Arabidopsis thaliana: one gene and its partners. The protein of the gene in region 2 purifies or fractionates together with the protein of the main gene of each other region. This does not show direct contact. Each region holds a gene or a part of one and is shown on either strand. Other genes may lie near its edges. The genes, in order: ALPHA-SNAP1, EIF4A-2 and ALPHA-SNAP2.

The links.
Region 1: the proteins of EIF4A-2 (region 2) and ALPHA-SNAP1 fractionate together in Arabidopsis thaliana (co-fractionation; one large-scale study listed by BioGRID). This does not show direct contact.
Region 3: the proteins of EIF4A-2 (region 2) and ALPHA-SNAP2 fractionate together in Arabidopsis thaliana (co-fractionation; one large-scale study listed by BioGRID). This does not show direct contact.

What each region holds. Positions count from the first base shown.
Region 1 is NC_003074.8:20,928,747-20,933,369, reverse strand, and holds ALPHA-SNAP1 (alpha-soluble NSF attachment protein 1), read right to left. Parts: upstream 2,814-4,623; coding exon 2,405-2,813; intron 2,111-2,404; coding exon 2,010-2,110; intron 1,560-2,009; coding exon 1,408-1,559; intron 1,387-1,407; exon of another isoform or gene 1,169-1,386; coding exon 1,018-1,168; intron 921-1,017; coding exon 873-920; intron 786-872; coding exon 501-785; downstream 1-500. Other genes in the region: AT3G56460 (GroES-like zinc-binding alcohol dehydrogenase family protein), read left to right, coding at 28-171, 246-341; ATG18D (autophagy 18 D-like protein), read right to left, coding at 4,573-4,623.
Region 2 is NC_003070.9:20,255,805-20,266,214, reverse strand, and holds EIF4A-2 (eif4a-2), read right to left. Parts: upstream 6,669-10,410; 5' UTR 6,253-6,668; intron 5,905-6,252; exon of another isoform or gene 5,817-5,904; intron 5,722-5,816; 5' UTR 5,721-5,721; coding exon 5,653-5,720; intron 5,567-5,652; coding exon 5,463-5,566; intron 5,354-5,462; coding exon 4,923-5,353; intron 4,833-4,922; coding exon 4,197-4,832; 3' UTR 3,949-4,196; downstream 1-3,948. Other genes in the region: AT1G54280 (ATPase E1-E2 type family protein / haloacid dehalogenase-like hydrolase family protein), read left to right, coding at 1-756, 838-948, 1,031-1,307, 1,395-1,483, 1,595-1,682, 1,776-1,985, 2,073-2,198, 2,286-2,384 and 2 more; AT1G54260 (winged-helix DNA-binding transcription factor family protein), read right to left, coding at 7,039-7,070, 7,153-7,351, 7,464-7,546, 7,738-7,831, 7,979-8,062, 8,699-8,783, 8,859-8,875; NRPB8A (RNA polymerase Rpb8), read right to left, coding at 9,880-9,991, 10,099-10,190. UniProt on the Arabidopsis thaliana protein: ATP-dependent RNA helicase which is a subunit of the eIF4F complex involved in cap recognition and is required for mRNA binding to ribosome.
Region 3 is NC_003074.8:20,842,082-20,853,257, reverse strand, and holds ALPHA-SNAP2 (alpha-soluble NSF attachment protein 2), read left to right. Parts: upstream 1-4,562; 5' UTR 4,563-4,901; coding exon 4,902-5,046; intron 5,047-5,498; coding exon 5,499-5,548; intron 5,549-5,634; coding exon 5,635-5,707; intron 5,708-5,802; coding exon 5,803-5,882; intron 5,883-6,113; coding exon 6,114-6,265; intron 6,266-6,495; coding exon 6,496-6,655; intron 6,656-6,752; coding exon 6,753-6,800; intron 6,801-6,888; coding exon 6,889-6,969; intron 6,970-7,058; coding exon 7,059-7,139; 3' UTR 7,140-7,584; downstream 7,585-11,176. Other genes in the region: AT3G56200 (Transmembrane amino acid transporter family protein), read right to left, coding at 1,479-1,599, 1,696-2,161, 2,259-2,462, 2,551-2,703, 2,808-3,171; AT3G56180 (LURP-one-like protein (DUF567)), read right to left, coding at 7,710-7,844, 7,931-8,161, 8,239-8,493; CAN (Ca-2+ dependent nuclease), read right to left, coding at 8,939-9,037, 9,132-9,360, 9,448-9,504, 9,610-9,797, 9,885-9,995, 10,095-10,209, 10,298-10,353, 10,528-10,644.

The DNA of each region.
Region 1 (4,623 bases), on a different chromosome or scaffold from region 2:
ATAAGTTGTAGTAACCAATTGGTGCAGAACTGGACGGTTCATGGTCTTTACTGGGGTAGCTACAGGATCCATCAGCCCAATGTCCTTGAAGATTCCATCAAAGAGTTATTGTCATGGCTTTCCCGAGGATTGATCACTATTCACATCTCTCATACCTATAGCCTCTCCCAGGTGAAAACATTAACTCATCTTCATGACATCAAAACTCAAAACATGTAATTAAACACTTACCGTTTTGATTACAGGCCAATCTTGCATTCGGGGACCTCAAAGACAGGAAGGCAATTGGAAAAGTGATGATTGCTCTCGACCACAAGACTGCCCTGTCTTCAAAACTATAGACTCTTTATGGCCGTAGGAGAAAACAGCTTATGTATTCTAGAAATAAGGTTATTGCAATGGCCATGTAAGCTGAACCATCTTGCATTTATATCTGGCATATAATCCACATTCTGATTTGAAATTTCAATAAACGTTATCGAATTGCAGTTTGATTTTCTCTAGAAATTAGTGTAGTTATAAATCCTTTTTGTATATACATTGTTCCAATCAAGAATACATTTTCCTTCAATCAAGTAAAGCTTGCATCCTCCTCCAGCTCCCTGGCCTTGAACTTCTCTTTTACCCTCAACAACATTGTTGTCATGATCAAGAACCAGACAGAGTTTACATCCAAATAGTTGCATGTGGTTTACTGCCCATACCAGTGGACTCACGCTATCAATTTCCTTGGAAACGTCTGTGAACTTTGCAATGTCTTCTTCATCGATAGCAGAAGCAAGGTCCTGTTCATGAGAATAAATGTACAACACTTAACATACTTTATGTAAGCTACTCCCCAATTTCTTACAACACCAGAGTTTAAACTTTACCGCTAAGAACTTGCATTCCCGTGTTCCTGAAAAAGTCGGATCCAGATCCTGCAAGAAAGTACAAGTTAGAACACATGTCATAGTTACTCAAAGGACCACGCCAGGATGCTGATGTTAAGGCTGTTTGCTGTGGAAGAAGAAGAACCTGATATTTCTCCAGTGCATTAGTGATGGAAACAACATCAGCTTTGCATAAGTGGCACATGCCAGCAGTGAGAAGATGGCCTTTAACTCCATACTTAAGCAACTTATTGTTGAGTGAATGGCGTGCCTGTGTCTTCATAAATCTGGATTGCCTTCTCATACCTATCAAAGATACAACAGCAAGCCTATTATCAATCAATCAATCCGCCCCAAAGTAGAGAAGGGGCTATAATCCATGTGCTCATGTGTAGAGAACAACAACATTATTCCAAACAATGTCAAATTTGTGGTTTGAAAATTCGATTTTAACATGGTCCCATCTCAGTACTGTAAGTACGTCAATACCAGAGGATGAGAAAGCCAAAAAAAGGTCAGGTGCCGAAAATCTTACTGCTCTAGCTGGGAAGCATATTGTGCAACCTTTAGATTGCACTGGTTTGCAGAGGTGGTCACTTCTTCTATTTGAAAGAATTCAGCTGCCGTTTCATAGTAAGCAATAGCTTGCTCGAACATCTCATCAGATTCATAATACTCAGCAATTTCCTGTCAAAAGTAAATGACAATGTACACATTAGTACAAATACAGAAAGTCAGTACCAAGCTTACTATATATACTGTAGAAAAAAAGAAACAAATCCGACAGGATCCAACATGCATAAACAACACGAACCATGGAGAAGATGCTGAAGAAGTGCCTCCCCCTCAATAAAACTATCTTCTCACTATCCGTACTAAAAGAGTAACAGTATCTAATTCATACTCAAAAGAGACATGTAGTACATTGTAATATCTTGCAGCCATGTTGAGCCTTACTATCTATCTCACAAAATATATTCGCCGCTCTCTCTAGACAAGATGCAGCCTCTGCATATAATAAGGTCATGGTTATATTTGGACGCGATAAACATGCATAGCGAAAGGAAAACACACAAGAGTTGATAATCAGTCCTGTAGTACATATATGTCAATTAAAATCTAAAAAGCTGTTGCTACATGATCCATACATTCGTCCATTATCATATATGTGTTTGCCAAAGAATTTGCCTTTAAGTGACAATCGGCAAGTTTTAGATAAGCTATTCCAGCTTGATCCCCTGAAGAATCACAAATCAAACACATAAGCAAGAAGATACTTATCAATGACTTTACTATAAGGCCAAAAACCATCATTATCGAGTAATCTAAATGTTGAGTATCCAATTTATAATTCCCACATATCAAAGAGGCCTAAAATCAACTTCTCACAACACCATGGAAGGATCACCACAATTGCTAAACCAAAGATCAATCAAAAGTCTCAAGTTTCACCTTTTCTTCCTCATCATCATCACAAATCAATCAGATGAAACAAAAATCAAGGCCGGCTGATTATTATTTATGGAAATTACATGATTTGGCAAGCTTATAGGAATCACGTGCTTTCTCGAGCAGATCAGCAGCATCCTCGTACTTAGTGTCGAATCTTCTCCGTCTGTTAAGCTTCTTCTCAGCTTTCTTCTGAAAGTAGTAGCAACTGCTTGAAGAAGAGAAAGTGATATCAAACAACAACAAGAGTTGGCGGCGAGCGATGGTAGCTGAAGCGGCTCGCGTGATGGTTCTCTGTTTTGAGTATTGCAGAGTTCCGATGAATGAGAGATGGGCTTCGTGTCTCCTTTTGGGCCTGAAACAGCTGCAGTGTTGTTGTGAGAGATTGAAGTCTCTGCTTGAGTTGGAGACTCTTGTTGTTTGATATCTTATCAAGTTCCTCAGCTCTATGAAAAGTGGGTAAAAAAAACCCTCACCTTTTACAAAAAACATGTACAAAACCCTCAACTTTTTTGGTGGGTTTTTAAACCCTTCCCTTTTTTTCTTTGATAACTCAATGCCCAGACCACACAGTGATCTAACTAGTCTACTGGGGCTAAGCCCGCGACCAGAGATTTTTAAGCATCCATTTAAGGGATTTTTTGGTGGGTTTTTAAACCCTTCCCTTTTAAAAAATAATAAAATAACACTTACTATTATTAAACCAACTAAACTATTATATTAAAACATAAAATAAAACAAGTTAGTTTGTAATTTATACTTTCCAAATTGGAGTTTTTGATATTTTTTCAGAATTTAGTTGTTGTTTTTTGACGATATAAAAAAATAAGTTTCAATTAGAATTTGTTATGTAAACTAAAATCAATTTATAGCTTAGCACATTTTATTTTATTTTACTTCATATGTTTTCTAACTTTTGAAGTTTTGGATTTAAAATGAAGAAAATTATTAACATAATTTTGTTCTAAAGTTGTGTGACTGAACAAAAAAAAAATTCTTAATATTTCTTTTCTTCTTGAACATATAAAACAAAGGTTTCGCATTACCAAAAAATTTCAGAATAAGAATTATTCAGCCTATCTTATCGTATTTCCAAAAAAGATCTCGAGAAGATCTCGGAGAATCTTAACAACAAATGAAAAGAAAATATATTATCATTATTTTGTGCAAAAGATTGCACTCCTCCTTCCTTTCCATCTTTATTACCTGATGCGTAAAGATATCTAATGGAAGAAGAGCTCTCGCCTGCTTCTATAAGACCTGTTTTACTAACAGGACAGTTTAGTATTTCAAGATGTTTTAATTCTTTGCATCCTTTACCAATTGCTTGGAGACCGTGATCCGTAACATTGGTAGCATACTCTAGTGTTATTTCAACAAATCTATATACAGAACAAGCACATGTATCACGGTCAGTTTATGTGCAACATCAAATATTCAATTAGAAATTTTTGATAAAACAAAATTGAAAATTCTCGTAAATGACGTAAAAGAAAAAAGAATAATAATGCAATCAAAACTAGCATTTACAAGCAAAAATTTCTAAAAGAATAATAATATAATTTGTGTTAATCACACCATAGAAAGTATTTTGAGCAAGGGGAATTAATAAAATCAATGCATCATTAAAATTGCTTAAATTTAATGCATCATTAACTATTATGTAAAAAAAAACCACATAAAATTTTTAATATATGTAAATTTTATATAAAAAAAAAAAGATTGCTTAAACCACAAGCTAGCGACTTGTGAGTTTAACAAAAAGTCGTAAAATCCAATGGAATCTGGTGACGACAAGGCACCTAATACTTTTTTTTTTTTTTTAACTCTGGCACCTAATACTTTTAAAGCATCTCCATTGCATAATTTTCTATATTGTCTCTATAAAATTAAAGTTACTAAATATTAATAATTAAATGTATAAGTCTTTAAATTAAATGGAGAAATCCGGTTCTGTAACCTTGAAATGACCATGTAAGCTGAACCATCTTGCATTTGTTATATCTGTCCTATAATCAACATTCTGATTTGAAATTTTAATAAACGTAATCGAATTGCAGTTTGATTCTCTGTAGAAATTAGTGTTATAACCAAAAAAAAATCCTTTTTGTATATACATTGTTCCAATCAAGAATACATTTTCCTTCAATCAAGTAAAGCTTGGAAGAATAAAATCGTATGCGGTTTCACCAAATCTATATACAGAGCCAATTGTTATGTACATAAAACTCAAACCAAGCACGTGGTCTGACTATCTCGGGCTATCTTGCTTCAGAAAATGGAAATGTTCAAGCTGAGTCAT
Region 2 (10,410 bases):
TTTGATCACTGCTCTGTTACTTTATGGATACTTGATTCCCATCTCATTGTATGTTTCCATTGAGGTAGTGAAAGTCTTGCAAGCACATTTTATAAATCAAGACTTGCAGTTGTATGATAGTGAGAGTGGGACTCCGGCTCAAGCACGCACCTCGAATTTAAATGAAGAGCTGGGACAAGTTGATACTATCCTTTCTGATAAAACAGGAACTTTGACATGTAACCAGATGGACTTTCTGAAATGCTCTATTGCGGGGACTTCTTACGGTGTCCGTGCTAGTGAAGTGGAACTAGCTGCTGCTAAGCAGATGGCAATGGATCTTGAGGAGAAAGGTGAAGAAGTTGCAAACCTTTCTATGAATAAAGGCAGGACACAACGGTATGCAAAATTGGCTAGCAAGACGTCATCAGATTTTGAATTGGAGACAGTAGTCACTGCTAGCGACGAAAAGGATCAGAAGCAGAACACTGGTGTTAAGGGGTTTAGTTTTGAAGATAACCGTTTGATGAATGAAAACTGGTTAAATGAGCCAAATTCAGATGACATTTTGATGTTTTTCCGTATTCTGGCGGTTTGTCATACAGCTATTCCTGAGGTGGATGAAGATACTGGAATGTGTACTTATGAAGCTGAGTCTCCTGATGAAGTTGCTTTCCTTGTTGCTTCTAGGGAGTTTGGTTTTGAATTTACTAAGAGAACTCAATCTAGTGTTTTTATTGCTGAACGGTTTTCATCTTCAGGTCAACCAGTTGATAGGTGAGCTTTAAATCTTTCAAAAATATTTCATTGATCTTTCTTTGCATATAGATGTCTATTCATGTGGAGGTTATTTTACAGAGAATACAAAATCTTGAATCTGTTAGACTTCACTAGCAAAAGAAAAAGAATGTCTGCCATTGTCAGAGATGAAGAAGGGCAGATTCTTCTACTATGTAAAGGCGCTGACAGGTTTGATTGCATGACTTCAAGCCATTCCCAGTTGCTTAATTCTCACTTCTTCTAACCACAATTTAATGCTTTTTGCCTGCAGCATTATATTTGAACGTTTATCAAAGAGTGGGAAAGAGTATCTTGGAGCTACTTCAAAGCACTTGAATGTATATGGTGAAGCGGGTTTACGCACATTGGCACTTGGTTACAGAAAGCTAGATGAGACCGAGTATGCAGCATGGAACAGTGAATTTCACAAAGCCAAAACTTCAGTTGGAGCTGATAGAGATGAAATGCTCGAGAAGGTTTCAGATATGATGGAGAAGGAATTGATCCTTGTTGGAGCTACTGCTGTGGAGGACAAACTGCAAAAAGGGGTATGTAGCATAGTTCAAAATATGATTATAACTGAGAAACAGCCTTTCCAAAATCATTTTCAACTTACTGTTTGTATCTCACTTTAGGTGCCTCAATGCATAGATAACCTTGCCCAAGCTGGTCTCAAAATATGGGTTTTGACAGGAGATAAGATGGAGACAGCAATAAACATAGGGTTTGTTCTTCATTGTTACTGATAATACCACAGACTCCTAAACTGTTTCTGACTAGATACATTTCTAAAACTAAGTGGACTAATTGAGTTCTTTGGTTGATCCCAATGCAGATATGCCTGCAGTTTACTACGACAGGGTATGAAGCAGATATCCATTTCACTTACAAATGTGGAGGAATCATCACAAAACTCTGAAGCTGTATGTATTTTGTCGATGCTATAATTAAAAACCAACTTTTACAGCTGTTTCAGTAGAAACTTGCATGTGATAACAAAACTTGTTAATGGTCAGGCTGCAAAGGAGAGCATTTTGATGCAGATCACAAATGCTTCACAGATGATTAAAATTGAAAAGGATCCACATGCAGCATTTGCTTTGATCATTGATGGAAAAACACTTACCTATGCTTTGAAGGATGATGTCAAGTATCAGTTTCTTGCCCTTGCAGTTGACTGTGCATCAGTGATATGCTGTCGTGTCTCTCCCAAACAGAAAGCACTTGTAAGAATAGTTCCACAATTCTCAAAACATCTTTCTTGGTTTCAGAATATTACATATGCCATATTTTGTTTATCTTGGTTTTTGTAGGTAACAAGGCTGGCCAAAGAAGGAACAGGAAAAACAACTTTGGCAATTGGTGATGGTGCAAATGATGTTGGAATGATTCAAGAAGCTGATATTGGTGTTGGCATCAGTGGCGTTGAAGGCATGCAGGTTGCTTAAAAACTTTTCTTCAGCACAATGAGACATGGTTAAGTTTTGTTGGTTTTTCTGAGAGTAGTTGGTTCTGTTTCTTTGCAGGCAGTAATGGCAAGTGACTTCTCCATAGCCCAGTTTCGGTTTCTTGAGAGACTACTTGTTGTCCACGGACATTGGTGCTACAAACGAATAGCCCAGATGGTAATATATGCATTGATATAACTCACCAGAAAACAAATATCTATATATATACCTGATCTTGATTCGTCATTGTTGGTTTCACAGATTTGTTATTTCTTCTACAAGAACATAACCTTTGGTCTGACTCTCTTCTACTTCGAATGCTTTACCGGATTTTCTGGTCAATCAATATACAACGACTCCTACTTACTACTCTTCAACGTTGTTCTCACTTCTCTCCCGGTCATTTCCCTCGGAGTTTTTGAACAAGATGTTCCTTCTGATGTCTGCTTACAGGTTATATAAAGTCCTCTCCATCATCTTTCACATATATAACAAAACCTTCTTTTTGGATCTTGATTCATTTCTTGGCCTGTTTTCTTTATCTAGTTCCCTGCATTGTATCAACAAGGCCCCAAGAACCTGTTCTTCGACTGGTACAGAATCCTTGGATGGATGGGGAATGGAGTTTATGCATCCATAGTCATCTTTACACTCAACCTTGGAATCTTCCATGTTCAATCATTCCGCTCAGATGGCCAAACCGCAGATATGAATGCCATGGGAACCGCAATGTTCACATGCATCATATGGGCAGTAAATGTTCAAATAGCTCTAACCATGAGTCACTTCACTTGGATCCAACACGTAATGATTTGGGGAAGCATAGGAGCTTGGTACGTCTTCCTCGCTCTTTACGGTATGTTACCAGTAAAACTCTCTGGTAACATCTTTCACATGCTCGTCGAGATTCTTGCCCCTGCACCCATCTTCTGGCTTACTTCACTTCTGGTCATTGCCGCCACAACGCTACCTTACTTGTTCCACATTTCATACCAAAGATCAGTGAACCCTCTTGACCATCACATTATACAAGAGATCAAACATTTCAGGATCGATGTAGAGGATGAGCGAATGTGGAAACGAGAGAAGTCAAAGGCGAGAGAGAAGACAAAGATTGGGTTCACGGCTCGAGTTGATGCTAAGATCAGGCAGCTAAGAGGCAGGCTTCAAAGGAAGCATTCGGTGTTAAGTGTTATGAGTGGAACATCGTCTAATGATACACCTTCTTCAAACTCACAATAGACTTGATGATTAAGACCAAGTATGTTTTGTTTAACCACTTCATATATATTTCTGTGATTTTTTCTTCGGGAAATCATCAGATGGAGAAAGTTGGATTCAAGTTAGATGAAAGAAAGAGAGACTCTTATTTTATTTTCTTACTAATCTTATGGTTTATACAATTAGACAATGGTAGAAGAAAGAGGGGAATGTTGTATTTTGTGTTTGTCTGTGTGTGTGTATGTACACTAGTACTAATGAAAAGAAGAAAAAAGATATGTTGCTGATTAGACAAGTTTGACAAATAGTTGACATTTTTTCCTTTTTACAAATGGATTCACAAAAAAAGATTAGCATGGAAAAGCTTAAGTACTCTTACTTCCGAAATTGAAAAAGAAACTGTTTTCAAAGATATGAACTAAAGCTCTTGACCACTTCTTAATGTTAGGAATTATATAATCGCACATGACCCCAGTGAAAGATTTCTATGTAAGTGACATCCGAAACAGTAAAAACAGGTATAGAATTGCTGTGAATAGACTTGTAATTACGAAAGATTTTTGGATCATACAAGAGAAGAAATAAATATTGCATTTGATAAAAAAGAAATATGGTCAGAAGAGACATATATATGTTCGATAGAGTTGATGAAGAATACTAGAGAATGAAAAAGATGTATCGATGATTCAGAGAGAGAGAGACGGGTCAAAAATCAAATAAGAAATTTGCGAAACAAGCAACCTTTCTTCTTCTTCTTCTTCTTCTTCTTCACAGCAAATCAGCCACGTTTGAGGGAAGCTCCTCAACAACCACATTGTAGAATTTCTGAATATCAAACAGCATTCTCTGATCATCAAGAGTCACAAAGTTAATCGCCACACCCTTTCTCCCGAACCTTCCACTTCTTCCGATACGGTGAAGGTAATTCTCTGGCTGAGTTGGGAGGTCAAAGTTTATGACTAGAGAGACTTGCTGCACATCGATACCACGAGCCAAGAGATCGGTTGTGATTAGAACACGAGACGAGCCAGACCTGAACTCTCTCATGATGATGTCTCTGGTGTTTTGGTCCATGTCTCCATGAGTTGCTGAGACTGTGTGGTCACGGCTTCTCATTTTGTCTGTGAGCCAGTCGACCTTGCGACGAGTGTTGACAAAGATGACACTCTGAGTGATGGCTAGAGTCTCGTAGAGATCGCAGAGAGTCTCAAGCTTCCAGTCTTCTTTCTCCACGTTCACGTAGAATTGCTTGATACCTTCAAGTGTGAGCTCATCACGTTTCACCAAGATTCTCACTGGTTTGCTCATGAATTTTCTTGTGATCTCCAAAGCTTCCGGAGGCATTGTCGCAGAGAACACTCCAACCTGAATCTTTGGTGGGAGAAGCTGGAATATGTCATAGATCTGCAAATTCACCAGAAAACAACACAAAACCAAGTCAATATCAGAGATAACCACAGAGGGTAGATTCAAACTTTGAAGAAGATAACAAACCTGATCCTTGAAACCACGGGAGAGCATTTCATCAGCTTCATCAAGGACAAACATCTTGATGCAGTCAGGGCGGAGAGATTGTCTTCTAAGCATGTCAAAAACACGACCGGGAGTTCCAACGACAACATGAACACCAGCCTGGAGAATGCGCTGATCCTCACGGACACTGGTTCCACCAACACAGGCATGAACCTTGACACCTTGGTAGTCACCAAGGGCACGCATGACCTTCTCAATCTGCTGAGCAAGCTCTCTGGTGGGAGCCAAAACGAGAGCCTGGCACTGGAGAAGGGCATAGTCAAGCTGCTGCAAGACACCAGAGCAGAAAGTGGCGGTTTTTCCAGTACCAGACTGTGCCTGCTGGATCACATCAAGACCCTTGCAAAAGGGTACAATTCCTCTTTGCTGAATAGCAGAAGGCTTTTCGAAACCTAGAAAAAAATCAACCAATCAATCACAGGAAAGAGCACATACGATAAAGTTAATAGGAATCCCAACATAACAAACAAAAGGTTGTTTCTTTAAACCTTCTTCACTTACCGTAAGCATAGATACCCCTAAGAAGATTCTCTTGCAAACCCATGGCATCAAAGCTCTCATGGACCTCATCATATGAGGTGAAGAACTCATCCTGTCCATCGAGACTGCACCCAAACAAACAATAAGATTAGCAAATACAAAAAAAATCTCATCAAAAACGAGTAATGAAACTAAAGATCTTAGGACTTACACTTCATTCAGCCTCTGGTCAAACTGACGCGTATCAAATTGTGTTCCTTCCGGTGCGGATCCTGCCATACTACAACAATACACAAAAGAAACAATAGTTTAGAACCCAGATAGCTAGAGATGATTCTTAAATCTTATAGCCAGAGAGAGTTGTGCAAAAGTAAGAATGTAACAGAATAGCCAAACTTGAAGTTCCATATAGAGAGGAACACAAGCATTAATATCTGAATTATTCGATGTCAGGAGAGATATAGGAAATATGGTTCATCCAATTATCATAACAGATACCATTCAAAAACATCTATCTCTCCATGAAAGCATATAATATACACAAAGTTGTCCAAAATCGAAGATAAAAGCTTTGGATGATTTTAACATAAGTGTCGAAATCAAAACCTAACCCAAATCGATTTGAGATAAACGAATTGAAGGGTTTCACGGACTAATTGAATCCGATGACGAATTATAGATTAACAAGCGTCAATTTTGAAAACGACCCAGAACAAATTCCATCGCAAAGAGAGTAAATCAGACTCGAGATCCAATCGTTCATAAGAAAAGGAACAAATCGCAGAGAAAAGTAAAAAAAATATTTCCGAACCTTGGAGCTTAAGTAGTTGAATGAAAGATGAAAGCTTTGAGAGTAAAAGTGAAGAACTTTGTTAGAGAGCTTGAAATCTCGCGAACTTGGATCTGGTGGAGCGATAAAGAGAAGATTGAAGCAAATAATATAAATTGAGGTAGAGAGAGACTCAACCCAATACGTGTTAGCCAGTTATATAGTCCCCCTCTTTTTTTTTTTAGGGTTTTCCTCTTTCTAATTGTTCTACTTTTCCAAAATTTTTATATTTCCAACTTTACCCCCACTTTCCTCTTCCTTTTCGATTTGAGATTTTTCTCACCTCTTTATACTTTTCCTAAACTAGTAGGGAAAATATTGTTACCAATCAAGTTATTTTACACCAATGTCAAAAGAGACTATGAATAATGAATCGCAATTGCATACTAACACACACCAGAAAATATCAAATCACAATCACAAAATGTTGTTTTCAAGTGGAAATATGAGTAGTAGTGTTGTACTTCCATACGCCAATACCAAACTTTTTAATTAGAAAAAAAGACCAAATTTTCTTTTGGAAAAGCTTATTCTTTCCAGCACCTTTTGATGCTTTATGACGTAGCAAAGCATTCACAAGACTCCATAGACACGTCATTGTTTTTTAGCAAAAAAAAAAAAAGCTATCTTTTTATGAACAAAACAGTGAACATTAGTTCACCATTACAACCATATAAACCTGTGTTTAAGAACTACAAAAACAAAACTCAAGTGGTTAGTTAAGTAAAATATAGATTGAAGCAAACTAGATAGATACTTGGTTTTCTTTTACAGTAGAACAACCTCTTGGCCAAGAGCACCTGCAAGAAACAAAGCAAAAGACAGTGATGATCATGGTGATGATGATGGATTGATGTACCATGTGAGTTTTGTTGAGATTACATTGTTGGTGGATCTCTAAGCATAATTGAAGCATCGTGTGGCTTTCTTCTACTAACTTGTGCATTCGTTCTTCTTCTTCGACTGCCTCTGCTGCTATCAACCTTTTGTTATCTGACTCTGCTAGTTTCATTGCTACAACTTCTGGTGCTACTTCCAACACTTTGTTTTCTAATTCTGATATCTTGTAGCGATCCAATACCTGCAATTTGGGAGATTTTCTGATTTTAATCAATCATAAGAATTACAAATGATCTTGTTATAGATAGATGATGATGCATCAATAAATAGCTGAGCAATTAAGAAAAATATACCTTTTCCAGTTTGCCTTGAGAAACGAGAATTATCAGGCACTCACTCAAAAACATCCTAAAGTCTTGTTGCTCCTCGTACCAGTCTTGAAATTGATCAACCACAAGGGATCATATCTTTTGTTGCTATGATACTGTAAATTGGATGAGCAACATGTAATTAAAAGGAGTAAGATTACGTTGTTTTCTTTTGCCAACTCATTCATTCCTTCTGCTTCTCTATTTGCTGCTGGGTCTATCTCATGTGTTTCTTTTGATGTTAATATCACAGAAGTACTTGGTAACTCTGGTGGCTTCGTGGAATCTTTTGGACGCAGGGTGAGTGTTGGCTTAATTGCTTTCGTAACTGAGATTTTGTAACGATTTCGTACCTGCATTTATAAAGTAATTTTTGAGTTTATCATATAATATAACTCAGGTTTATTATTACTACATCTTGTCATATAGATATTGGGGGTATGGAGAAAAGTAGATAGGCTTGTGACAAACCGCGCATTAAGAAAAACAACACTAGTTACCTTTTTGAGTTTGTCTTGAGAAACAAGGATTCCCAGGCTATAACTCAACAGTTTCTTAAAGTTTTGTGGAACCTCATGTTGTCCCTGCAATTGATAAACCACAAAGATTAACTTCCAACTGGATTCAATGTAATTCATATTCTTGATGTTAAGGTTGAACGTAAATATAAGAGTTTATCCAAATGATATTTTTCAAAGCTTGAACCAGGATACAATAGAGAAACAGTAATAAGAGAATGTAATGCAGCAGCATTGGTGATAAAAAGGATTCATGCTTGGAGTCAAATGTTATAAGGAGGAAAAATGAAACCACAAGTTTCCTGGGTATGAATTTCAGTAACCTGGGCGGCGCAACAAAGAGGTTCCAACAGCAGTTAGTAATGCTATTCCAATGGTATCAGAGTGTTTGCAGTCATCATGGTTGTGTTAGAATACTCACTACATATATCTACAACCTCAGAAGTTACCAACTAATTGTCAGATAACTATCCTAAAAATCCTTATGTTCTGTCCATTGTGATCAGTTACTATTGACTCACTTCAGACTACACAATCTATCGACTCATTTCAGGTGAAAACTTAGCATTCTGTATTCAGAGAAGAGAGTATAATGAAACCCAAGGAAATAACTATGACAAGAAATTGAGATAAACTGACTAATGAATGTCAAATATAAACCATGAAAAACACAAAGGACTTCAATGTATATATCCTCTTCACCTCGATAAATCTGAGAATCTCTTTGAGATTGGAACCATTTTCATCATTAATTGTTGATACAGCCTCAAAAACCATCGCATCATACCTTGCAACAAGGTAAAGAAGAACCTGTTAGAACTTAGAACATACCAATTCTAAAAAATCTCTAAATATAACAAACCTAGCATCATTGCTCATATCAGATGAACTACTAGGAGAAGCCTCATAGCTAACAACAGAACGAGAAGTCTCTGAAGGTGAAGTGAAAATGGAGGTAGATTCGAGTGATTGTGTCCTTGATTTCTTTATATTACGCCATTTATCCTTGAAATTTGGGCAATAAGAATAAACAATACAACATTAATACCCAAATTTCGACCTAATTCCACATAATAAATCTCAAAAATCGATTTCCATGGAAGACGAATGGGATTTTGGGAATTTTCGATTACCTTGAGGTTAATGTTTGTGCGATCTAGAAGTTGAGCCGCGAACTCTGGATCGTCTAAAATACTTGTCCATTTTCCGGAACCGTGCTTGGCTAGTCCGGCGAGAAGGGCTTCCTTCTTCCACCGTCCATTTATTCTTCCGATTTTCTAGTTGTTTTTTCTTTCTCTTCAAGTCGAAATATATACCATTTAGAAGGCCTCATCAAAAGCTTTTATTGGGCCTAAACATGGCCCACTATACAGATTTAAAATTAAATCTTGATCTGTTCAGAATTTTTAAGACTAATCTCGACCGTCCAAGATATATTCTCCCAGTCTCAAAGAAGCAAGAACACAAACATGGACTAGAGAAAACACAAGCATGGATTAGAGAAAACACTCTATTTTTGGCTCAGAATCTATTTTTCGAGCTTTATTGCTTCATATTGTTGTTAGAAGATAAGAGTGTAGTGAAAATTGGTTAGAGAAGAAACAAAACTGTGTCCTTGACCAAAAAAAAAACTGTGTCTTTGTCTGTGTTTTTTGTTATGTTCTTGGTCTCAATTGCTTATCTTCATCAATAGCTTAGAGCTACAAATAGTACATTTCACCGGACCGGAGCAGTCAATTTGTGGAATGGGATTTAAAACGGAACGGAAAAACTTGCTTTTGCACAAGAGTTGCTTCATGAAAATTGCAAGAGTTGAAGTAGTAAAAGTTAAACATTAGATCAAGCTCTCTATTAATTCAGTTTTTATCCGAAAAAATGGCACCTCACAGCTTCCTCATGAGTAGGAAGAGCCTCTGGTCGAGTTCGAAGTGAGAAATGTGAGCTGGATCTCCCTTAAGCAACATCAGGAGGCCGCCAAACGAAACATATAGCTCTCTGGAAACACATAATTTAAAGAAAATAAAATAAAACATGATGGTTTGATATGTGAGTTGAATTGGATTGAATTATTTTGATATGGGGGGGTTATATGGGATTCTTACGCTTTTGGAGTTTTGCCGTCACGCTCAGAGATCTTGTAAAGCTTCCCGTGCATTATGTATTCATACTTATCGGCAAGTGTTTTCTTTGCTCCCTGTAATGTATCGAGATGAAAACTAGATAAGATTAATGTTTAGATATGCATACACATTCTTGGTTTTCAAATTTAGATCTTGAAGATTCAAGAACTAAAGCTTGTTAAAATTCCATGTCTCCTCTTATTCCTAGATAGACAGGCTTCTCGAATCAGCCAACAGAGTTATAATATCAACCATTTAGCAGCATTAACAGTTATATCCTAACAAAATCCAGAT
Region 3 (11,176 bases), on a different chromosome or scaffold from region 2:
GATAAAAATGTGACTCTTTTGGTGCTTATTCACTTGTATGTCATGTTATGGTCTATGTTCTCTAAGTGGTTTTAGCTTAGATAACTTGTATGTCTGTTTTCTTTACTTTAAGTTCAATATGACTTGTATCACTTCGGCTTTAATGATATTGTTGTTTATTCTTGTGTTAACGGACTAAACGAGTGTTCAGCTTAATGTGTTCAGTTTTAATAAAACTTGTCTTAATGTGATATGTTGTCTTAATCTTTAGTTTAAGTATTCTATGTTTTCTTATTTGTGAATGTTTAGTCTTCAGTGTTAGTGTGTTGTGTTTCAATATGACTTGTGTTCGTAAGAAGTTCCATATGACTTGTCTTCAGTTTTAGTTCCAATGTGACTTGTGTTCAGTTTAAGTTCCATATGACTTGTCTTCAGTTTTAGTTCGAATAAAGCTTGTGTTTAGTTTAAGTAGCAAACAAGCTTGTGTTCAGTTTAAGTTCCATATGGTTGTCTTAATGTTAATGTTCTTGTATGTCTCTTCTTAATGTTGGTTTCTTGTTTTGTTACAGACTTAAATAATGCTTCCACCTTCTCTAAATCACTCCAGTGCCGACATTACTTGTATAAAAGAGACCACATGTTTTAAGTCACCACAAGTTTGTACTTTGGTTTGAATGCTTGTACACCACAAAATAATATTCGGAAAACACTAGTTCTTATTGTGTATTCTATGACATCACTTGTATGCTAAACAATAATTTTGTTTTCATTGTTCTAAATTTTGAAGTCTCTGTATATGCATACAAAAACACTCTTCTTTTATCCACTGTTATTGTTTTAAGTATCCACTCTTCTTGTTCTCTACAACAAACCCAATAAACATTCTTCTTTCACCAAATAAACACTCTTCTTTAACCTAATACACACTCTTCCTTTTACCCAATTAACACTCTTTTTCACAAACTAAGAAAAATTTCTCACTTAAGGATTCCACTTAAGGATTCCACCATTGGACACTAAAAATTATAAAGATTCAACCAAAAACTCTAAACTCTCATTTACTTAAAATTTACTATTAAAAAATTGTAAGGAGTCCTTAATTAGGACTCCCCAATGGGGATGCTCTAAGTCTTGGTATCTTCATAATCTTAAGCTTTCGAAGGTTTGTATCATCTTTATGTTCCTCTTTTTTTCCAACTTAGAACCCTTCAATTTTTGTTCCAAAAGAAAGGAATAGTCTGATACAGATGTACTTTGTTCATTCAAATAATGGTCTACAAAAAGTAATTTAAAGAATACAAGTTTTGAAGAGTTGTTCATTTCCTCTTTCTCTGTTTCAAGCAGCAACAAAAATTGCACTTTGTATAGCTATTACATTGCATTTTCTGACAAACCTATTTCACAAAGATATAAATATGAATGCTACGGCAAGCTAATAATTTTACAGATTTCTTTGAAGTGATCATGGAAGGGACTGTTTGCAAAACTTTTTTCAACGACTAGTTTGCTGCGAGGCTGTATAAATTTGTCGAGATAGCAATAATGCTAGTGGCAACAGCAAGAACAAGCATTATTGCAGCTACGATCTTCTCTCTTGAGGTTGATACACCATGGATATTCCTGCCATTTCAGAATCAGAAAGCAGTTGGTAAGATTTTTATAGGAAGTTTGAAGCAACTGATAAAGTACATAGTAAAGGAAACAAAGCATATCTACCTTAGAACAATGGCGGCTGGAAATATGAATGCTATGGAGACTGTGATGGTTGATCCCATGAACTGAAAGAAGTACCAAATGTCTGGTACAGCGATTGCAGACAAGAAACAGCAAATCAGTAGAGCCAGAGTGAGTCCGATGAATCTTTTTGTGTCTTTTTCCAAGGACGGCTTCTTGGGGTACAAGAGTTCGTCGAGATTTGCTCTCAATGAGAAGTTCAGGAGAGGAAAGACCAGCATGAGGTGAAGCACGTAGCTGAGTCTGACAATGTCGTTGAGAAGAGAACCAATGGAAGAACCAGAGCTCTGGTCAAAGTTCACTAGAATATCCGACATAGTTGCATCTCCAAAGAGAAGGTAACCAAAGAGTCCAGTTGCGAAGTAGATAGCAGCACACAAGATGACAGAGATCTTAGTTGCTGGGATCACTTGTAATGGATCTTTGAGCTCGAATCCAATTGGATGAACTGCACATTTTGAATCACAACACCAAACTCAGAAACATGAAAAAACAGAGAAAACAGAGAAACAGTTACCAATATGGTGAAAGAGATGGGTTCTTACCATTGAAGTGAAACGTGAAGGCTGTAACTATAACAGGGGAAGCTGTGAAGAGTTGCCAGAACGATCCTCCATTGCTCAACTCCGGAAACAGTCTTGGATTCTTCGTTTGTCCATTCACCAGCGCGGAAATCGCCAGCACCGAGCTTATGACAACAAATAGAACCGCAAGAAGAAACGATACAGCGGAACTAATTGCCAGTCTTTCTACATAACCATTAACAAAAAGAAAATCATCAACAATCTCATAGATATCCATAATTTTGAGAACACAAGATTATAGAGAGAAACTTACCGACTCGTCTACGCAGGACCAATGGAAGCAAGACAAAGCCGTAGACAAATAACAAAGCGAAGATTCTCGTGTTCCACCAGTAAGAACCAAACCATTCTTGCAAAACTCCAATATGTTCAGGACCACCATTTTCATTACCAGAAAGCACATCTCCTGAGAGAGTAAACACATACAAATCCAAACTCAGCCAATCTGTTCTTAAGCTCAAATAGTAGCTGAGACCTCTACACTTAGATGATTAGATCAAATTACTTTACCTATAATAATCGAAAATATAATCATACAACCAAAAGTAGCAACCATCGTAGCAATCTGTACAGCGATGGATCCTGTTTTACCAAACGACTCTTTCATAACTCCGGCGTAAGTAGTTGATTCTCCGGCGAGAGTTGATTTCATCAGAAATCCAACGGAAATTGTGGAAAGCCAAGCTATGATCGTGATAATCAAAAACGCTGGAACTATTCCAAGAACTTTAAACGCCGCCGGCATCGACATTATTCCGGCTCCGATTATACTCGTTGACACGTTGAAAACGATGCCGGAGGTTGATGATCCATGGTTCTCAGACGAAGAAGGTTCTTGCTTCGGCAAGAGATGAGTTTTGATCTGTGGTGTCATTTTTCTAACCGCCGGAGAAACGTAAGAATTTGCCGGCGGGAAGAAGCTTTCCTTTTTTGTAGTTGTTATGAGGAATCGGCTTCATATAGCCACACGGTTAATAGCGAAAAGTACATAAATACCCTTTGAAGATTGGGGATATATGCCTTGACCGTTTGGGGCAAAATCGAGAAAATGATATTTGACCATAGGTAAACCTGACAGGCTGGGCAAATCATGTCAGTGAGATCACCAAATGATCTTTCGTCACGTACTTAAAAACATCACGAAAATAATAATTTTGTTCAAGAGAGGAAATTACAGCTAAAATATGATGAACAATCATAATCATATTATAGACAGAAGTGAATTATTAACAAAAAAACCCCAAAGAATTATACAAAAAAATCCAAAATAAAATGGGTCCGTCCAACACTAATGAATGTGTGCACTTGGATTTCTTCACGAAGAATGTATCTAGACGAAAAAGTGGCCAAATGTGTATCATCGCTTCTCATCTCATATAAGTTGTCCAAAAAAGAAAAAAACTCCTAAATAATTTAAAATTTTCGTGGATATAATAAAATCCAATATATAATCATATCATTGGCGGCCTCAAAGATGGCTCACGTGTAATAAACTAACTTTAGAGCAGACGGTTCGAGACTTTTCATCAAGAAAACGAGAGGGCAGCGAATGCGGAATGTCGAATGAATAATTGAAAACGTGATAAACGAAACAATATAAGAATAATTAAACACTGTCTTCTAAAGTTATTTTTATTTAATCATTTCATATGAATCATATTGAAGTTACTCAGTTAACATTATAGAATGTGACTGATAGCAACATTAATATTGCCGCAGAAATCCCTCGTTGCAAAGTTACAGTTTATTTTAGATCATCTCTGTGTGTAAAGGAGAAGCTTCAGTCAACAACAACAGAGCTTGGGTCAAACTCTCTGCTCAGCTCAGAGTCTCCCAAACAGAATGCTATGGGCCAAGACACTAAGCCCAATACCATTCAACATGTCGAGAAGCCCAACAACAGAAGATTACCTCTGCAACTCACAAAAGACAAAAAAATTACCGATTACCCATGAAATGATTTGCTAAAAAATTGAACATTTCATAGATTTGTAACGGTTGTTATTTAGCCATTGTTGTTATTCATGTGTTTGATATTAAAACCGATATTGTTGTTACTCATGTGTTTGATATTAAAACATACTAGGTTTTTACCAGTTTGTGCATTTTGGAACATAGGTTTGTTTAGTGGAAACTGTCAGCAATATTTGTCGTGATTTGAGAACTATAATAATGGCTAATGAAGAATGTAGAAGGACGAGCAGATATAACAGGAAATCGTTTTACTTGATAATTCATGTAAGCTTTTCTTCAATCCCAACTGATAAACCTGATCCCATATTTTCTAAGCTTGGTTAAAGCGACCCAATAACAAAGTACGGAAAAACTTTTGATTGGGCTAACTTGGGCTTTTCAAAACAAAGCCCATATTTTAAATAGACAAATTTGGCCCACTTTAGTCGGTTGAAAAATCTTTTCCCCTATCGAAGCGTGTCTCTGATTTTTCGCTCTCGATCGATTCTCGTCTCTCTCTCTTTCATCGCAGCGAATAATCCAAATCGAAAGCAATTTCTCTCGACGAAGAAAAGAGAAGCAATCGGAGTCTGTGGAGGTAAAGAAGTACACGATCAAATTTCAAGTCAGAGTTTCGGGGAAAAAAAAGGAATGGGGGATCATCTGGTGAGAGCTGAGGAATTCGAGAAGAAAGCTGAGAAAAAGCTCAATGGATGGGGAATATTCGGATCTAAGTACGAGGATGCTGCTGATCTGCTCGAAAAAGCAGCTAATTCCTATAAGCTCGCCAAATCATGTAATTTCCATAAATAAAATTTCTTTGCTTTTGATTATTGTTTCATCGGATTGGTGTCGTGTTTTTTTTTATTGTTGTTCTTTGTGATGATGAGGAAGAAAAAAAAGGTGAAATTTGAAACGTTTGATCTTAGGTTTATCAGTTGCGGTGATTTGTCTATGGTCATGTGAGAAGTAGAATTAGTATCTGGGTTTATATTAGGTCTATTTTGATCTGTAAGAAATTTATGGTTGATAATTTCATACGAAAACATTTTAAATCGGAGATTCATCATTCTGATTCCTTGATATTGGTTTCTGGCCTTCTAGCAAGTCATTGATAAGTGGCACAATTATAGTACCTAATTTGGGTTCTATTTGGCTGAGTTTAATAGGTTTCATGTTCTTTTCTGATATTTGTTTAATTCTCCAACGCTATCTTCTTACTTATGTGTTGCATTTGTGATTGTTCAGGGGATCAAGCTGGAAAAGCTTATCTAAAACTTGCCGACTGTCACTTAAAGGTTAATTCTTTGGCAACACATATATATGATACTGGACTAATGTGTGGATTGTTTGATAACATTGATTTGCATGATTGCATCTGCAGTCAGATAGCAAACATGATGCTGCTAACGCCTATGCTGAGGCTGCTAAATGCTACAAGAAAGTTGACACTAATGGTATGTATAAAGCTACTTTTGTAATTGTCATCTCTGTAATGCAAGAGTGATTATGAATTCTTATGTGTTTTCATGCGTCCTAATATTATATGCAGAGGCTGCGTCTTGCCTAGAGCGAGCGGTGAATATATTTTGTGAGATAGGAAGGCTCAACATGGCTGCAAGATATTACAAGGTACCACTTGTCTCTTTTGAGCATGAATTAGATATTATTCTTTTAGTACGGATACTGAGAAGATAGTTTTATTGGGGCACTTCTTCTGTATTTCCTCCATGGTTCCTGTTTCTTTATGCATGTTCAGTCGGATTCAGATTGTCTTTTTCCTTTTCTAAACTAAAGTAAGCATGGTGCTGACTTGCTGTATTTGGACTAATTTGTACATTAATGGTTTTTTACTTTTGACAGGAAATTGCTGAGTATTATGAATCTGATCAGAAGTTCGAGCAGGCTATTGCTTACTTTGAAAAGGCAGCTGAATTCTTTCAGAATGAAGAAGTGACCACTTCTGCAAACCAGTGCAATCTAAAGGTTGCGCAATATGCCGCCCAGCTGGAGCAGTAAGATTTTCGGCACATTACCTTTCTTTTTGCTTTCTCATCCCTTAGCATTGAAGTGCTTATAGTACTCAGATGGAACCCTGTTAAAATCGAATTGTCAATCCACAAACTTGTCATTGTATGGAATTGTGATGTTCTCTATGCAGTATGCATGAGCACAGCAATTATAGCCTTTTCTCTACTTTGGGACCGATTGATTGATAATAGGCTTGTTGTTGTATCTTTGGTAGGTATGAGAAGGCAATCAAGATTTATGAAGACATAGCACGCCATTCACTCAACAATAACTTGCTCAAGTATGGAGTTAAGGGCCATCTTCTCACTGCTGGCATGTGCCACTTATGCAAAGCCGATGTTGTTTCCATCACTAACGCTCTGGAGAAGTATCAGGTTCTTCTTCTTCCACAACAAACACCCGTAACATAAACATTCTGGTGTGGTCCTTTGAGCAACTATGACATGTTTTCTAACTTCTACTTTCTTGCAGGATCTGGATCCAACTTTTACTGGAACACGGGAATGCAAGTTCTTAGCGGTAAAGTTTAAACTTCCGTTTTTTCAAGAAGTTGTGGAGCAGCTTACATAAAGTATGTTAAGTTTTGTACATTTATTCATATGAACAGGACCTTGCTTCTGCTATCGATGAAGAAGACATCGCAAAGTTCACAGATGTTGTCAAGGAGTTTGATAGCATGACTCCACTGGTATGGGCTGTAAACCATATACAGCTATTTGAATAAAATCTCTCTTTAACTCTACCTGGTTCTTGATCATGGAATTGGTGTTAATGCAGGATTCATGGAAGACAACCATGTTGTTGAGGGTGAAGGAGAAGCTCAAGGCCAAGGAGCTAGAGGAGGATGACCTTACATAGACATATTTATCCAGAGCGTTGCTTTTTATTCATTCCCGGGTTGTATTGTCACTATGTCCGTTACTTCATGTCCGACTCTTCTTTGATTTTATTGTGTCTGGTTTTGAGTTTTAAAGTTTCTTAAGAGGTTTGGTCAAATTGGGTTTGTTTGGTATCGACGTCTACAATTGTTCTCTGCGTCTCGTCACTTCATTTATGGGAACTACTCAAGTCTGGAGTTTTTTTTATATTGGTTAAACATCTGTGGAGAGTCTTCTTCGTTCAGCGATTATTTGATGCATCGAGAGGATCATGTCTCGATTATTTGTTTGCTTTTACGTCTACATCTATCTAATAAACGTGTGCTTTTTCTTCCTGTTAACGACAATTTGTAGTGTTTTGATTCATGTTTTCTTGCTCTATATATCTTTGATTGCACGCTTTTATGAAAAATAAACATTTGGGCCAGCAAGATTGCACATTACATGGAAAAAATATTCTTACATACATATATCTTGAGAAATGAACACATATACACCAATAAATTGTGAAAGGAACCACTAAACAAAGAGATTGAGGACAGACAATATACTAACACCAATTCTCGTTGTCATCGACCATGACAAGCAAAGCAATGATAAAAGCATAATCAACCTCTGGATTTACTCTCACCTTAAAGTTATATTTCCCTTTGCAGAAACTTCCCCATGTAAACTTATGTGTTACCTGCAATATAAGGATTTCAATCCTTCACCAATGTATAAAAATTGCAAATTTCTTAATAAGTATGGGTTTTTAACTTTTACCCCTACCCCGGCGATGAGAGCATCCGCTTTGAAAACTTTGAATGAGATATTGGAGTATCCTCCTGAAGCATGAAAATCACAAGTGTTTGTCTTCTTGACATTGTTGTTCTCCGGCAAGAAAACATCCACGGATGTTTTCAGTGAAACCGCTTGAGATTGTTGTACCGTGAAGAGCAAGTCTTCTCTCTCTTTGCTCTCTCCTCCATGCACTTCCCACTTGTTCTTCAACGCAAGTCCCTAAACAATCATACACCATTTCAAGAAAGAGTCATTTTTATATGTATGTTTGTTGAAAAATTAAAATGTTTTGTAACCTTTTGACGCATTGAGAGGATTGTGAAACCGGCTGGATCACGCATAACTCTTTTACGGTTAAACCCCCAAGCTTGTCCATCAATTTGTAGGAGCAGATTCCCACTTGGATCAAACACTTCATAATAATCTTTAGAAAAATTCTGAACTTTTCTCTTCACCAAAAGATCCATTGGGTATGGATTACAGAATTGATCGCTCACTACGCTTATCGCGGGATCTCCTACTTGCCATTCTGTTTTTTTATTCTTCGGCATTTTCGAATAAAGTTCAAGAAGAAGACGAAGAAGAAGATTGCAAAAGACTATGAAAGGCTCTTTATTTAGAGCCCTTGATAATCCTCCTGATGATGAAGAATTATCAAAAACACCTCTTCACATTTTCTTAAAACAATATATCAACTAAAAACAAATTTGAAATTGTAAGATTGGTTTTTACTTTTTCAGACTTTTATTCTCAACCAAAGATTGTTAAACCCCAAAAATAAACTATGTACCCTTATATTTAGAAACGAAACAACTAAGCTAACTTCTGTCTCAAGGTTCAAAGAGAAATTCTCTATTGCCAAAAAAATACTTGTCAATACATAAAACATATACATACTTCTCTTACAATTACAACAACAGATCACAAGTTCTTTAATTCACAATAATCATATAATCGAATAGTATTGTATTGTTGTTTTTATTGGTTTTGTTATCATTAATTGCCTCCACGTTTGTTCTTTCTCCACTCCCATGGCTTCTCTGGATTAGAAGATGCCCACAAGCCAACGCGCTTTTGCCTAGCCTCATTTTCCCACTGAATTCAAAACACCAAAACAAACCGTTAAACATCAGAAGGAATAATCAAAGAAAATTGTAAATGAAAAGCACAAAGGTTTATAAAAGCTTGCCTTTGCGAGCTCTGCACGCTTGTCATAGGCTACATAATGCCAAGCAAGACCTTTCTTTAGCATTACTTCCTGTACAAATTTTCCATTGCAGTATATATCTCCTACACATCTTCCATAACGATCCTCTGTATATACTAACACCTTCAAGCATTTCCCTTCAACCATCTTGAGTAGCTCATCATGCGCCTCTTTTCCATACGGCATTTTGCTCTCCGGTGAATCTATTCCGCTGATTCATTTTCATTCCAAATTTTTAACTCTACATATAGCTTTTGATTGAATATGAGGTTCTCTCTAGAGTGGAAGAGTGTTTTACCTTAGTCTAATTCTGAACTTTTTAGCAAGCACTTCCTCATTCTGAAAACTTATCATCCTAAGTATAACATGAAAAAAAGGTTAGGAAAAATTATGAATTTCGTAGATCAATTTTGATTTGACTTTATAATCAACTTGTGAAGTATATCAATAAAACACAAACCTGTAACCAGAAGCTATGATCGTCTTGTGAAGTGCATCTGCTTCAGTATAATTCTTCTTCTCACGCGCTTTGGCTCTTTTAACCGCTGCAAGACTCACGTCCTTAGGAAGAGAAGATGACACAAGCGGGTCTTTGCTACTAACATACACAGTAACAGTATCACCATCTGCCACAGATTTTGTATCCACCTTATTTCATTTAGAAAATTTCTTGATCAGCAGCAACAACATTACCATCATATCCCAAACCTTTTAAAGATTCGTAAGTTTTCTAACCGGAAGCGTGTTAAGCTCAAACCGAACTCCTTTAGGTAAAGACACAGGAGCTTCCGTAGGGACCTCAACGAGATTGTGAGGTGAAGGTAGTCCATAGAAAGACAAAAGTCCCTGTCAATGCCATTAACAAGTCAACTATATCAATAATGCATCCTCCAAAACTCCTTGACATTTTTGCAACTTGAAAGAACCATCATGATTAGTTAATACCTCAACATCTGCTTTTTGATGGTTCTTTAGAGCCGCGATAACAAGCCTGGAGGCTTCCTCAGGAGTTTTAGGCCGAGGCTTAGCTTGCTTCCATGCCTCAAGTATTTTTCTATACCTTCAAATTAAAACATGTTTTGGAAGAAAAAGACATTAAAATATGAACATTTTCAAATCTTTATAGACAACATTAGCATGATCTGTACCAGTTTGCTTGAGCCTTTTGGGAAGACACAACGTAACTCCCAAGCTTCTCAGGAACCTAGAATAAAATGAATCTTTAGATCCTGATCAATCTCTTAAGCAAAATTTTAAATGAATCTATTGATTTACACAATTCACAGTGAGTTTCAAACCAGAGCTAAAGAACAAATCCAAGACTAAAATATTAGCTGTAGAAAAAAGAAAATTTAGGAGAATAACAATGGAGAGAGACCTGAGAAGTGGTCTCGAAGTTTAAGAGATCACGAGAAAGAGCTGAGACGCCGCCGGAAGAGGCGGAGACGCCGTGAGAATTCAAGCATTTCCGGAGTAACCTAATCGCGTTACCCATTTCTTAGATTTGATTTTCAACAAAAAAAGGAAAGAAAGAGTTTTGATCTTTCTTCCTTGATCTCGTGTGAAAGTCTTTGATTCAGTTATATGGAGCAGAGAGATTGTTTATCGAACAAGCGAAGTCATACGTGGCGGTTTGTTATTGGGTAAGAAGCTAATGTGATCAAAATAATTGTTTTATATTGTTTTTTCTTGCAATCTAAAAAGTATTAGGTGCCTTGTCGTAATCAGGATTTGACGACTTTTTGTTAAACTCCTCACAAGTCACAAGCTTGGGGTTTAAGCAATCTTAATGGTGCATTGAGTTTTTCTACAGCTCAAAATATCTCTTCTATGGTCTGCTTAGCACTTTTTTTTTTTTTTTTTCTTTCTTGAGCAGGGCCCGTAATTTGGTATTTTTGGCTTATAAATGCTAGTTCTGATTGCATTTTTATTTCTTTTAAGTAGTTTAGGAGAACTAGATTCCTTAAAAATATTTATGGACATACGAATTATATACAGTTGATTCAACGGATCTATAAATTGTGGAA